Linked DNA regions of Macaca mulatta. The main gene of each other region encodes a partner of the protein of the gene in region 2 in a complex. Links are inferred from orthologs where the notes say so. Each region holds a gene or a part of one and is shown on either strand. Other genes may lie near its edges. The genes, in order: BNIP5, BAK1 and PXT1.

Region 1 (3,643 bases), about 2.8 Mb from region 2:
GACAACTCCTTCTAAATTACTGTCTTGGACAGTTCTCTTCAACAACTCTTTAGGCCACACAATGGAGGGAAAGCACCACATCCCAGGGGCAGGTCCTTCTGAGAGAAGGCTGGAAGATCCACGGGGAAGGCACTGAGCCAAACCATGACACTTCATGCAAGACATTTCAGGTCAGCCCTTTAGGCATTCAACTTGTGCCCCACTGTTTCCTTTGAAAGTCACAGATCTCAGAACATCTACTTTGGGTTCAGTAAGCTGTGTGACCTTGAATAAGTTTCTTAACCTCTCTGGGCCTTTATCGCTCCCAGTGAAATGTGGGTCATAATCTGTGTCCTGCCTCCCCCAGAAGGCTGTCAGGCTGTCATATGAGGGACTGGGCTTGAGAACACTTTGCAAGGCTAATGCTGATCTTCCAACCTGCAAAATTCCAGTGGGAAAATGGTGGATACCTGGCCTCACTAAGGTGGAGGATGAAAGGACATCAGCAGGGATGACACAGAGAGAGCCTGCCACGCTGATGCCTCAGCCACACCCCCATCTCTGCACAGAGAAGCCACTGACAATGGAAATGGTTTCCTTTGATACTCCGGTCAGCCTTTTCAAGGACAATGTGCCCACACTGTCCTCTGATAGGTACCAGCTGATGAGTTTACATGAAAAGAGATGCAAACAAGGTTCCCTGTTCTGAGGCTATCTGTGGGTTTGCTTTTTTTTTTTTTTTTTTACTCCTAACTTCCCTCTCTCACTTCCCTCACTTATAAATTGTTTGGCTTTTGTTGCTTGACTCAGCTACCAGCTGGTTCCCTCTCATGTAAGAAAACAATTAGCTGCAAAATAACTAACTCAATGCCTTTTAGTTATTCTTTGACACATGCATAGCTCCTTCATTTCACATGTTATAAAATATGCTCATCTTTTTTTACAGGGAATTAGACGAATAGGGGATTATTCTCGATTTATTAGGAGCACTCATGGTATTGTGGTTTTGTGTGAGACTGTACTTATTTTTTGGAGATGCATGTTTAAGTATTTAGGGATGAACATGGTTTACTCCAAAATGATTCAGCAACAAAATGATACGCACACAAAGCAAACTGGCAGAGTGTAAACAACTGAGTATACAAAGCATTGAACTATACTTTTCACTCTTCTATATATTTTTTAAAGTAAAATACATTTTAAAAGACTAAGAAAAGTTCCATTTTCATTAACACATAAGGCAGAAGCATTTGCCAGCAGCCTTTCCAATTCCCTAGCCTCCCTTCTGTGAAATTCTAAAATAAGCAAACGTGGCCAGAAGCACCAAAAGAGGCAAGAAAGGCCAGTGCATGTATTTTGAGAGCCACTATCCAAGGTCTCAGTAATCATTCAGAACAATCCGTCTCATTCAGTAATAGCCACCTCAGTCAGAGGCAAAAAGGTCACTAGAGATTCCGACTCACTATCAGGCTTTTTGAGCTCCTCTTCTTGCTGGTGACCTGTGGCGTGGGGAGAAACATCCAAAGCTCCAGCACCATCCACTTTGATGAGGAAGGAGTGGCAATCAGAATCTTCCCCACCTGGAATAGAGACGAAAGCAAACGGGTATGTAGGTGTGTATGTGCGTGTGTCAGTGACGTTCTCCCGACTTTGTTCATCAACACGAGAAAACAGCACAGAATTCACAGTGCGACAGGCACTGCTGCAGCCTGCTCCAGGCCTAACCAAAAAACCAGAAACCCACCAAGGTTTTTATCTGAGAAGAGGCTACTTCCACCAAGACACCTCTCTTGCTAACCCCCTCCCCGCAAACCCTCAATCTTCTCCCCATCATAAACACCGAGTTTTGAGTGCCACGAGGCAGAGCCCCCCTCCCTCTAGGTGCCAGTGGGCATTCAGCTCCAGAGCCTTGCGAGGCAGAATAGGAAGGCACCTTGGGAGCCAGCACCCTCATTTACCTGCGGGGAATCAAAAGTTCCAGAGGGAGCAGCTCAAGCTCAAGGTCACACAGCAAGTTTACTCCTGATGGAGCCAAGTCTAGAACCAAGACCTGGAAGCAGCAGCCCAGAAGCACACAGGCACCAGTGGGGTGGGAGTAGGGCTTCCCTCCTCGCCTGACTCCCTGCCTTCTCATTTCTCCTAGGTCTGTGCTCCTGAAACTAGAGGAGTTGGCAGTAACAGCTATTGTGCACTGAGCACTTTCCTTGTGGGCTGTGGCCACTCCATGAGACAGTAACTACTTATCTTCATTTTATCCATGAAAAAAGTTGAGGCTCAGCGAGGAAACCTGCCTCCCTGGGCCACACAGCTTGTGAACGGCGGCACTGAGAGTGGGCGAGTGGTTTTCCCTGGAGCGCTCAGCCGTGGTGCTGTTCTACCTCAAAGAAATGTCACAGTGGGCCAGGCGTGGTGGTTCACACCTGTAATCCCAGCATGCTGGGGGGCCACGGCCCGTGGATCACTTGAGTCCAGGAGTTCAAGACCAGCCTGGCCAACATGGTGAAACCATCTCCACTAAAAAATACAAAATTAGTCAGGCATGGTGGCGGGTGCCTGTAGTCCCAGCTACTCGGGAGGCTGAGGCAGGAGAACGTCGTGAACCTGGGAGGCAGAGCTTGCAGTGAGCTGAGATTGCGTCACTGCACTCCAGCCTGGGGGACAGACAGAGACTCCGTCAAAAAAAAAAAAAAAAAAAAAAAAAAAAGCAAGCAAGCAAGAAAGGAAGAGATAAAGAATGGAAGAGAGAGAGAAAGAAAGAGAGGAGGAAGAAGGAGGAGGAGAGGAAGGAAGGAAGGAAGGAAGGAAGGAAGGAAGGAAGGAAGGAAGGAGGGAGGGATTCACAGCGGTGCGGAGGGAGGGAGGGAGGGAGGAAGGAAGGAAGGAAAAGAGGGAGAGAGGGAAGGAGGGAGGGAGGGATTCACAGTGGTTCGGAGGGAGGGAGGGAGAGAGGGAGGGAGGAAAGAAGGAAGGAACGAAGGAAGGAAGGAAGTCACAGCGGTGCGGCCCCTGACTATTCTTGTCACTCTGTGGAGAGGCTCCTGGAGCAAGTTTAGAGCACCCTAGGGGTTTCCACAGGAACAGGCACGGTCCACTCACCCCTGCGAGCTGGGCCCAGGTCAGCCTCCCCAGAGCGTGAGGCAGCAGCCGCCTTGGACAACCCTTCCTCTTGGCCTCTGGCATCCTGGTCTTGAGCTGCTTTAGTCACCTCGGCTGCATGTTTCTTGTGACCTTGCTTCTTGCGACCGGCCTTCTTGTCGTGGTGGGCTCTCTTCCTGAGGGCTGGCTCCCCTGCTGCTTCCAGGGGCTCCAGAGGCTGGGAGAGGCCCTCCTTCCCCCTTGGCCTCCTGCTGGCCTTTTCTCTGGGCTCCTCAGGGCCCGTCCTCACGAAGAAGTTCAGCACGGTCTTCAGCCACCCCTTCTTGGTGTCTTGCGAAGGCCTCTGCTCACTGGGGAGAAACTCTCCAGTCTCCTCGGGAGTGGGGGCTGCAGTGGTGGTGCAGTGAGCCTCAGCAGACGGAGCTGGGCTGTCTGAATGTCTGGCCCAATCACTGGTCGCCCAGTGAAGCGCCTTCCTGGAGGGGGCAGTGGGCAGGGAGAGGCAATGGCAGTCCCACGGCTCCAAGCCTTTCCCGGGGGCCAGCGGCCTGTCCAGAGACCTGGCTTT
Region 2 (4,321 bases):
CAGTGGTGCAAACATGGCTCACTGCAGCCTCAACTTCCTCAGCTCAGGTGATCCTCCTGCCTCAGTATCCTAGGTAGCTGGGACCACCACACGCACAGGTGTGAACCACCATACCCAGCTAGTTTTTAATTTTTTTTTCTGTAGAGACATGGTCTCCCTTTGTTGCCCAGGCTGGTCTTGAACTCCTGGGGTCAAGTAATCCTCCCACCTCGGCCTTCCAAAGTGTTGGGATTACAGGCGTGAGCCACCGTGCCCGGCCTCTATTGAGTTTTAATCTCCGTTTACTTCACTATCACCTTCAGGATTTCAGATCTCCAGAGACCACCAAGGTGCATGGTGCACAGGTCTGAATTGCAGGTTGAATCTCAATTTAGTATTAGTATTCCCCAACGCGACTACAGAACTGATTTTTTTTTTTTTTTTTTTTTTTGAGACGGAGTCTGGCTCTGTTGCCCAGGCTGGAGTGCAGTGGCTGGATCTCAGCTCACTGCAAGCCCCGCCTCCCGGGTTCACGCCATTCTCCTGCCTCAGCCTCCCGAGTAGCTGGGAGTACAGGCAACCGCCACCTCGCCCGGCTAATTTTTTTTGTATTTTAGTAGAGATGGGGTTTCACCGTGTTAGCCAGTATGGTCTCGATCTCCTGACCTCATGATCCGCCCGTCTCGGCCTCCCAAAGTGCTGGGATTACAGGCTTGAGCCACCGCGCCCGGCCCGAACTGATTATTACTATTTTTTTTTTTTTTTTTTTTTTTTTTTGAGATGGAGTCTTGCACCGTCCCCCGGGCTAGAGTCCAATGGTGCGATCCTGGCTCACTGCAACCTCCGCCTCCCGGGTTCAAGCGATTCTCCTGCCTCAGACTTCTAAGTAGCTGGGATTACAGGCACCCGCCCACCACGCCCAGCTGATTTTGTTAGCCAGAATGGTCTCAATCTCTTGACCTAGTGATCCGCCCGCCTCAGCCTCCCCAAGTGCTGGGATTACAGGCATGAGCCACCACGCCCGGCCCAGAACTGATTATTAACCCAGCTCAGTGACCTTTAGAGAGCACCTTAAACCAGCTGAGCCTCTGTTTGTTCATCTGAATGGGTATTGTCAACAGCACTCACTTACAAGAGTTGTTGAGAAGATCCAACGAGACAATAGTTGCTAAAGTGCCAGGCATGCAGCAGTGCTTAAGAAACTTCTCACCCTGGGTTTTTTATTGGTATTGATTGATGTAGAGATGGGGGAGAAGATCAAAGACAAGGATTGAGAATCAGGGATGGGAAAAGCAGTGGGCCACTGACAGCCGCTCTGCCTGGCTGGGAGGTGGGGTGGGGAAAGTGGGCGGGAGCTGCTCCTGGGCCTGGCCCACCCAGATCACCCCTCCGGGCTGCAGGCCTGTGCGTCTGCATCCGGTGGCCACAGAGCAACTTCCTCTAGAGGGAGCTGATTGGAGCCGGTTGCCGCTGGCACCTCTATGATCACTGGAGTCTCGCGGGTCCCTCGGCAGCACAGGGACAAGCAAAGGCTACATCCAGATGCCAGGAATGCACTGACGCCTGTTCCTGGAAGCCGAGCTCCCACTCAGCCCCTGGGAGCAGCAGCCGCCAGCCCCTCGGGACCTCTCTCTCTGCCCTGCTGAGCCACCCGGGTTGGGCCAGGATCCTGGCAGGTAAGCTGGAAGGGTCCTGCCCGTCCTCCCAAATCTCAGCAGCCCCAGCCCCAGGGTGGGGCAGGGAGCCTGCCAGGAGCCGGGTGGGGAAGGGGAAGCTCAAAGCTTACCTGGGCAGGTCCGCCTGCCCGGCTGGGGACCTGATCGTGGCAAGCCTACTTCTGGCTGCCCCTCACAGCTTCCCCTCTTGCCCCAGCCCTGGATGCCGGAGAACTGTGAGAACTGGGTCCTTTAACAGTCTGGGAGATGGGGGTGGAGGTCAGAGCCAAGGTCAAGGGCAGAGAGAGAACTTTCTCAGCGCTTCCTGCTGCCCAACATCCCTAGACTGGGTCCAGGGCCTGGCCAGGCATGTATCCCTGGGGAACATTCATCAGGGCCCAGCAAGCCCAGGAAGTCGGGGGTGGCTCCCCTCACCGGGAATTTAGGCCACTTGGATTGGGGGACAGAGCTAGGCCTGAGTCAGCATAGGTTGCTGGCCTTGGGGGGTGTCCTGAGGCTCTACCTGCTCCCCTCAGGAGCCTGGGTTGTTGGTAGAGGGAGTTGGGGGTGCCGTCAGCATCCTCTGGCCCTACTGTCCTGAGGGTGCTGGGTTCTGGAGACTGGGGAAGAAGGAAGGCCATCTTATTTAAGGAGCTCCGGGGGGGTGGGGGTTTTATTTTTTGTTTTTTGAGACAGAGTCTCACTCTGTTGCCCAGGGTCGAGTGCAGTGGCGCGATTTCGGCTCACTGCAACCTCTGCCTCCCAGGTTCAACCGATTCTCCTGCCTCAGCCTCCCGAGTAGTTGGGACTACAGGCGTGCGCCACCATGCCCAGCTAATTTTTGTATTTTTAGTAGAGACGGCGTTTCATTATGTTGGCCAGGCTGGTCTTGAACTCCTGACCTCGTGGGCCACTGTGCCCGGCTGCAAAGTTCTGTTTTAACAAGGCCTTGCCCCTAGAGGTGGAGGAAAGGAGAGTCTGCCTTCGCCCTGTCCGTGTCCGGCAGAGCAAGGAGTGGGGAGCTGGGTGAGGGCACAGGTGGTCCAGTCCTCCTCCACCCCTTCTCGAGAGCTCTTGGGGCAGTTTCGAAAACACTCCCAGGCCTAGCGGAAGGAGGGTGGGCGAAGGTCCCCAGGCCCTGGGCGGTGGGGGTGGGGCTGTGTGCTTGGCCCAGGGTGGGGCTGCACACCCCCTCCCTCTGAGATAGGAGGAGGGCGCTTTCCTTCTGAGGGCCGGAGGGTGCCTGGGGAAATGGGGCTCTGGGAGGGGTGCAAACTGAAAGTGAAACAGCTGACATCCAGGAAACGCCCTGATGAGGGGTCACAGCACGTTGGTGCTGCGGTCAGGACCAGGCAAAGAGGAAAGTTGGCTGGGGACAGAAGACTAGGTGTGTGGTGGGAATACGAGGCAGGTTGTGGGGCTTCGAAGAAGGCCCTGATCCTGAGGGCTCCCTCCGGTCACTGCAAGGCAGGGGTGAGGAAGGCACAGGCAGGAGGTAAACAGGGAAAGTTGCCCTGAGAAGGGACACCCTCTGAGGTCCACAAACAAGAAGAAATCTTAAATGCTTGTTGAGTACATGGACTCATGGAGATTCAGACAAACAACCCGACTTTCCGTCACTAATGATGTGACCTCGGGCACTCAACTCTTTATGCCTCACTTTTCCAGGCTGCAAAGTGGGTATGATGGTGCTCACCCTGCTGGGTTCATGTGAGTTTTCAATGTTCAACACCCAGAGTGCTCCTAAGTGGGAGAGTATATCTTAGGCTCTCAGGAAATGTTTGCGGCTAACAGCCCAGAGTTAAAAAACAGGTGTGTTCTGACCAGCCAGAGGGAAGTAGGGCCTCTGAGGGCAGCCTTCATGGGCCATTGGCTGGGCAGTGGCTCGCTTGCAATAAGCATGTGCTAGGTGGGCTGCAGGAGGCCCCAGGAACAGCTAAAACCCCCCAGGCTCTTGCCCCAGGAGTGGTATGAGCTTGAGAGCCAGCGGGCACTGCTGCAGCCACACTCTCCTCGAGGGTGCAGATACCTCAGTCTGCCCTTGGCTGCCTCACCTTCTTACCCTGTCTCCCTCGAAGGGTCACCAGTGAAGTGCTCAGAAGTTGTTTCCTCCCAGCAGACTTCACTGGGACCCATGCTGGAGTGAGAATAAAAAGTCCCAGAGGAAGCCAGGCACAGTGGCTCACACCCGTAATCCCAGCACTTTGGAAAGCAGAGGCAGACTCACAGGTCAGGAGTTTGAGACCAGCCTGGCCAAAGTCCCAGAGGACTGAGGGCCTTTCTGGGAATGGGGAACCCTCTCTCCTATGTGGACATGGCAACCTGTCTGGGGTCCCCAGTCACAGGTCCATGCTCACCCCATCTCTGCTTTTTCTCGCCCATCCCCGCAGGCTGACCCCGTCCTCCACTGAGACCTGAAAAATGGCTTCGGGACAAGGCCCAGGTCCTCCCAGGCAGGAATGCGGAGAGCCTGCCCTGCCCTCTGCTTCTGGTAAGGGTCTTCCTGCCCCTCACCCATCCCATAACCATGAGTGCTGTCATAAGGATGGAAGGAGCAGGACTCAGAGGCAGGCTCCTTCACCTCGGTTCACCCACTGTGGGTGGGAACCCACGGGCTCAGAGGCTGAAGCTGCTGTCAAGGTTAAGCCTGGGAGGGGGAGGAGTCTGGACTGGGGAGGGCCTGGAGG
Region 3 (3,643 bases), about 2.8 Mb from region 2:
TCTTTTCAACAAATGGTACTCCAGACACAGTGAGATGTACCTATAGTCCCAGCTACTCGGGAGGTTGAGGTGGGAGGATCTCTTGAGCCCAGGAGTTTGAGGCCAGTCTGGGCAGCATAACAAGACCCCGTCTCAAACAAATAAACAAACAACAACAAAATCCAAATGATGTTGGGACAACAGGATATCCATATGCAAAAAAAGGAAGACAGACTCTTAACTAAAATGTATGCAAAAATTAATTTCAAATGGATCAAAGACCTAAATTTAACAACTAAAACTAAAAAGCCTTTAGAAGAAAACATAAATGTGACACCCAAAGCAAAAGCACTAGCAACAAAAAGAAAAGTAGATACATTGAACTTCATCAAAATTTAAAACTTTTGTACTTCAAAGAACGCTATCAATAAAGTAAAAGGACAACCTACGGAATGGGATATAATATTTGCAAATCATATATCTGATAAGAAACTTACATCCAGAATATACAAATGACTCCTAGGCCAAGGCAGGAAGATCATTTGAGCCCAGGAATCCAGGACCAGCCTGGACAACATAGTGAGGCCCTGTCTCTACAAAAAAATAAAATAAAATAAAAATTAAAAAATTAGCCAGGTGTGGTGGCACGTGCCTGTGGTCCCAGCAACTCAGGAGGCTGAGGTGGAGGATCAATTGAACCCAGGAGTTCAAGGCTGTGTGAGCTATGGTCACAGCACTGCACTCCAGACTAGGCAACAGAGCAAGAACCTGCCTCAAAAAAAAAAAAAAAAAAAAGACTCATATAATGATGAAAAGATAAGTAGTCAATTAAAATGGGCAAGGATATGAATAGACATTTCTTCAAAGAGAAAAATGACCAATAAGCATATGTAAAGATGCATATTATTCATCAGAGAAATGCAAATCAAAAACACAATGAGATACACTTCATACCCACTAGGATGGCGATAATCAAAAAGATAGTTAATAACAAATGTTGGCAAAGATGTGTAGAAACTGGAACCCTCATACTCTGCTGGTGGACCACAGTGTATAATAGTGTAGCCACCTTGGAAAACAGTCTGAAAGTTCCTCAAAAAGTGAAACACAGAGATGTCACATGACCCAGCAATTCCATTCCTAGGTATGTACCCAAAAGAATTAAAAACATTTCTACACAAAAACTTATATACAAATGTTCATAGCATCATTATTCATAACAGCCACAAAGTGGAAACAACCCAAATGTCCAACCACTGGTGAATGGATAAGCAAAATGCGGCATATCTGTACAATAGAATATTCAACTGTAAAAAGTAAAATACTGATACATGCTACAACATGGATAAGCCTTGAAAAAAGTATGTTAAGTGAAAGAAGCCATACACAAAGTTCCATATTGTGTTACTCCACTTATATAAAATGTCCAGAATAGACAAATCCACAGAGACACAACGTAGATTGGTGGGGCCGGGCTTTGCACTGGCTGTTCCCTCTGCCTGGAACACTTTCCCACTCCAGGTGTTCCCATGGCTAGCTCCCTCATTTCCAGTATCTGCTTAAATATCACCTTCCCAGAGACGCCTTCCCCGACAGCCTATTGGAAGTCACTCTCCATCAATCAGTGTGCCCTGATCCTGCTTGGAGCTCACATCCCTGTCTGACTTGGCTGTTTACCGTTCATCTGCCTTGTTATCTGCTCCCTCCCCACATCATTTCTATGAGACTGCTGCTCACTGCTGTAGCCACCAATGCGTGGAACTGAGTCTGGCATTCAATAAATATTTGTTGGAATGAAATTGGCCTATCAAATATTTATTTGATTGCCTATGTTCTCTATGTTTATTTTCTCTTTATTTCTCTCTTGCTTTATTTTATTTTATTTTTATTTTTTGGGACAGAGTCTCACTCTGTCACCCAGGCTGGAGTGCAGTGGCACAATCTCGGCTCACTGCAACGTCTGCCTCCCAGATTTAAGAGATTCTCCTGCCTCAGCCTCCCGAGTAGCTGGGACTATAGGTGTGTGCCACCATGCCTGACTAATTTTTGTGTTTTTCAGTAGAGATGGGGTTTCAACATGTTGGCCAGGCTGGTCTCGAACTCCTGACCTCAAGTGATCTGCCCACCTTGGCCTCCCAAAGTGCTGGGATTACAGGCATGAGCCCCCTCTTGCTTTTATAGCATTATTGTTGGGATCTCCCATCCATGTTTTGTCTCCAGGATGTTTTATCTGAGGAAAAGGCTGTGTGTTGTCCACATTTGGACCTGAGTATAAAAGAGGACACGGCACTCCCTGTGGCATGCATGGTGGAGGACAGCATGGTGGAAGCTGCACCAAGAAAGCTTCACAGGATAGTTGAATCTAAGAGCAAGAAACTGGGCTCTGAGGGGTCCGCCACCCCGTCTGTCACAGAGCGCATGTGATCACACAAATCCCCTGAGGAATGCATAAAAAGGTAGATTCTGATTCTGATTGTGTGGGCTGGAGTCTCAGATCTTACACATCTAACCAAGTGATGCTGATGCTGCCAGTCCACAGACCACAGTCTGAGTAACAAGTATGAGATTAAATGCCAGCTTTGGCTCAGGTTCACAATATTTAGATCTAATATGTGGTAATCCAGACAGTATTAATCCATTAATTCTGATAATTCCTGGGCATCTCAGACACTTGGCAGCTGTGGTTTTGTTTGCTCTTTCCTCCTACCTGACAGGCCCTGGCTGGGGAAACTGAAGCCTCACCTCTCGAACCATCCTATGATCAATACTGTCCCCAATGTGTCTCAGCTGCATGGCCAACTTGTGAATTATTTCCTCCTGGTGATGCTTCTGACCAATGCTATGCTCCTTGGGCTGAGAAGGTAGATTATGATCTGCATTGAGAAAAAAAGAGTTCAAAAGAGATAATCCTACTTAATTATCTGTAAAATCACCACTAGTTACTAAAAACTGTCTTAGAAAATGAGAGGGTGGGCTGGGTGCAATGGCTCATGCCTGTAATCCCAGCACTTTAGGAGGCCAAGGTGGGTAGATCACTTGAGGTCAAGAGTTCAAGACCAGCCTGGTCAACATAGTGAAACCCAATCTCTACTAAAACTACAAAAAATTAGCTGGACATGGTGGCGGGCACCTGTAATCCCTGCTACTCGGGAGGCTGAGGCAGGAGAATCACTTGAACCCAGGAGGCAGAGGTTGCAGTGAGCCAAGATTGCACCATTGCACTCCAGTCTGGGTGACAAGAGTAAAACTCCATCTCAAAAAAAAAAAAAAAAAAAAAAAAAGAGAGAGTTGAAATTCAGTTCTTACAATAATTATCAAAAAGCAAAGCCTATCTATTGGAATAGGTCAGCTCTCTCCAATAGAAATATAATTCAAGCCACACATGTAATTTTAAATTTTCTAGCAGTAAAATCAGGTAAAATTAATTTTAGTAATTTATTTTACCTAAATCAATATATCCAAAATATCATAATTATAACATTAATCAATATAAAATGATTAATGATGTATTTTGCATTTTAAAATTATACCTAAGTCTTTGAAATTCAGTGTTTATTTTGTACTTACAGGACACCTCAATTTAGATGCTAACTTTTCACCGGAAAATCTTGATCTATACTTAGATTTCATGAAGTTGACAGTTTAAAAAGTAGATTCAGGCCAG

What was found.
Region 1: the proteins of BAK1 (region 2) and BNIP5 are in contact, whole or in part, in a crystal structure (PDB 8IGC), measured with the Homo sapiens proteins. The link is inferred for Macaca mulatta from reciprocal best matches to the Homo sapiens genes BAK1 and BNIP5. Residues at the interface, in NP_001179.1 of Homo sapiens: Leu78, Ile81, Gly82, Ile85, Tyr89, Glu92, Phe93, Met96, His99, Leu100, Tyr110, Lys113, Ile114, Ser117, Leu118, Ser121, Asn124, Trp125, Gly126, Arg127, Val129, Ala130, Phe134, Ala180, Leu183; in NP_001010903.3 of Homo sapiens: Ile246, Ile247, Gln248, Met249, Ile250, Val251, Leu253, Leu254, Lys255, Arg256, Val257, Gly258, Asp259, Gln260, Trp261, Glu262, Glu264, Gln265, Ser266.
Region 3: the proteins of BAK1 (region 2) and PXT1 are in contact, whole or in part, in a crystal structure (PDB 8GSV), measured with the Homo sapiens proteins. The link is inferred for Macaca mulatta from reciprocal best matches to the Homo sapiens genes BAK1 and PXT1. Residues at the interface, in NP_001179.1 of Homo sapiens: Ile81, Gly82, Asp84, Ile85, Asn86, Arg88, Tyr89, Glu92, Phe93, Met96, Leu97, His99, Leu100, Tyr110, Lys113, Ile114, Ser117, Leu118, Glu120, Ser121, Asn124, Trp125, Gly126, Arg127, Val129, Ala130, Phe134, Asn182; in NP_694535.2 of Homo sapiens: Ile78, Ile79, His80, Lys81, Leu82, Ala83, Met84, Gln85, Leu86, Arg87, His88, Ile89, Gly90, Asp91, Asn92, Ile93, Asp94, Arg96, Met97.

What each region holds. Positions count from the first base shown.
Region 1 is NC_133409.1:145,923,733-145,927,375, reverse strand, and holds part of BNIP5 (protein BNIP5), read right to left. Parts: coding exon 3,076-3,643; intron 1,560-3,075; coding exon 1,443-1,559; intron 1-1,442.
Region 2 is NC_133409.1:148,704,963-148,709,283, forward strand, and holds the start of BAK1 (bcl-2 homologous antagonist/killer), read left to right. Parts: upstream 1-1,441; 5' UTR 1,442-1,655; exon of another isoform or gene 1,656-2,331; intron 2,332-2,944; exon of another isoform or gene 2,945-3,021; intron 3,022-3,712; exon of another isoform or gene 3,713-3,863; intron 3,864-3,868; exon of another isoform or gene 3,869-4,024; 5' UTR 4,025-4,055; coding exon 4,056-4,125; intron 4,126-4,321. UniProt on the Homo sapiens protein: Plays a role in the mitochondrial apoptotic process. Upon arrival of cell death signals, promotes mitochondrial outer membrane (MOM) permeabilization by oligomerizing to form pores within the MOM.
Region 3 is NC_133409.1:145,857,514-145,861,156, reverse strand, and holds part of PXT1 (peroxisomal testis-specific protein 1), read right to left. Parts: intron 2,853-3,643; coding exon 2,722-2,852; intron 1-2,721.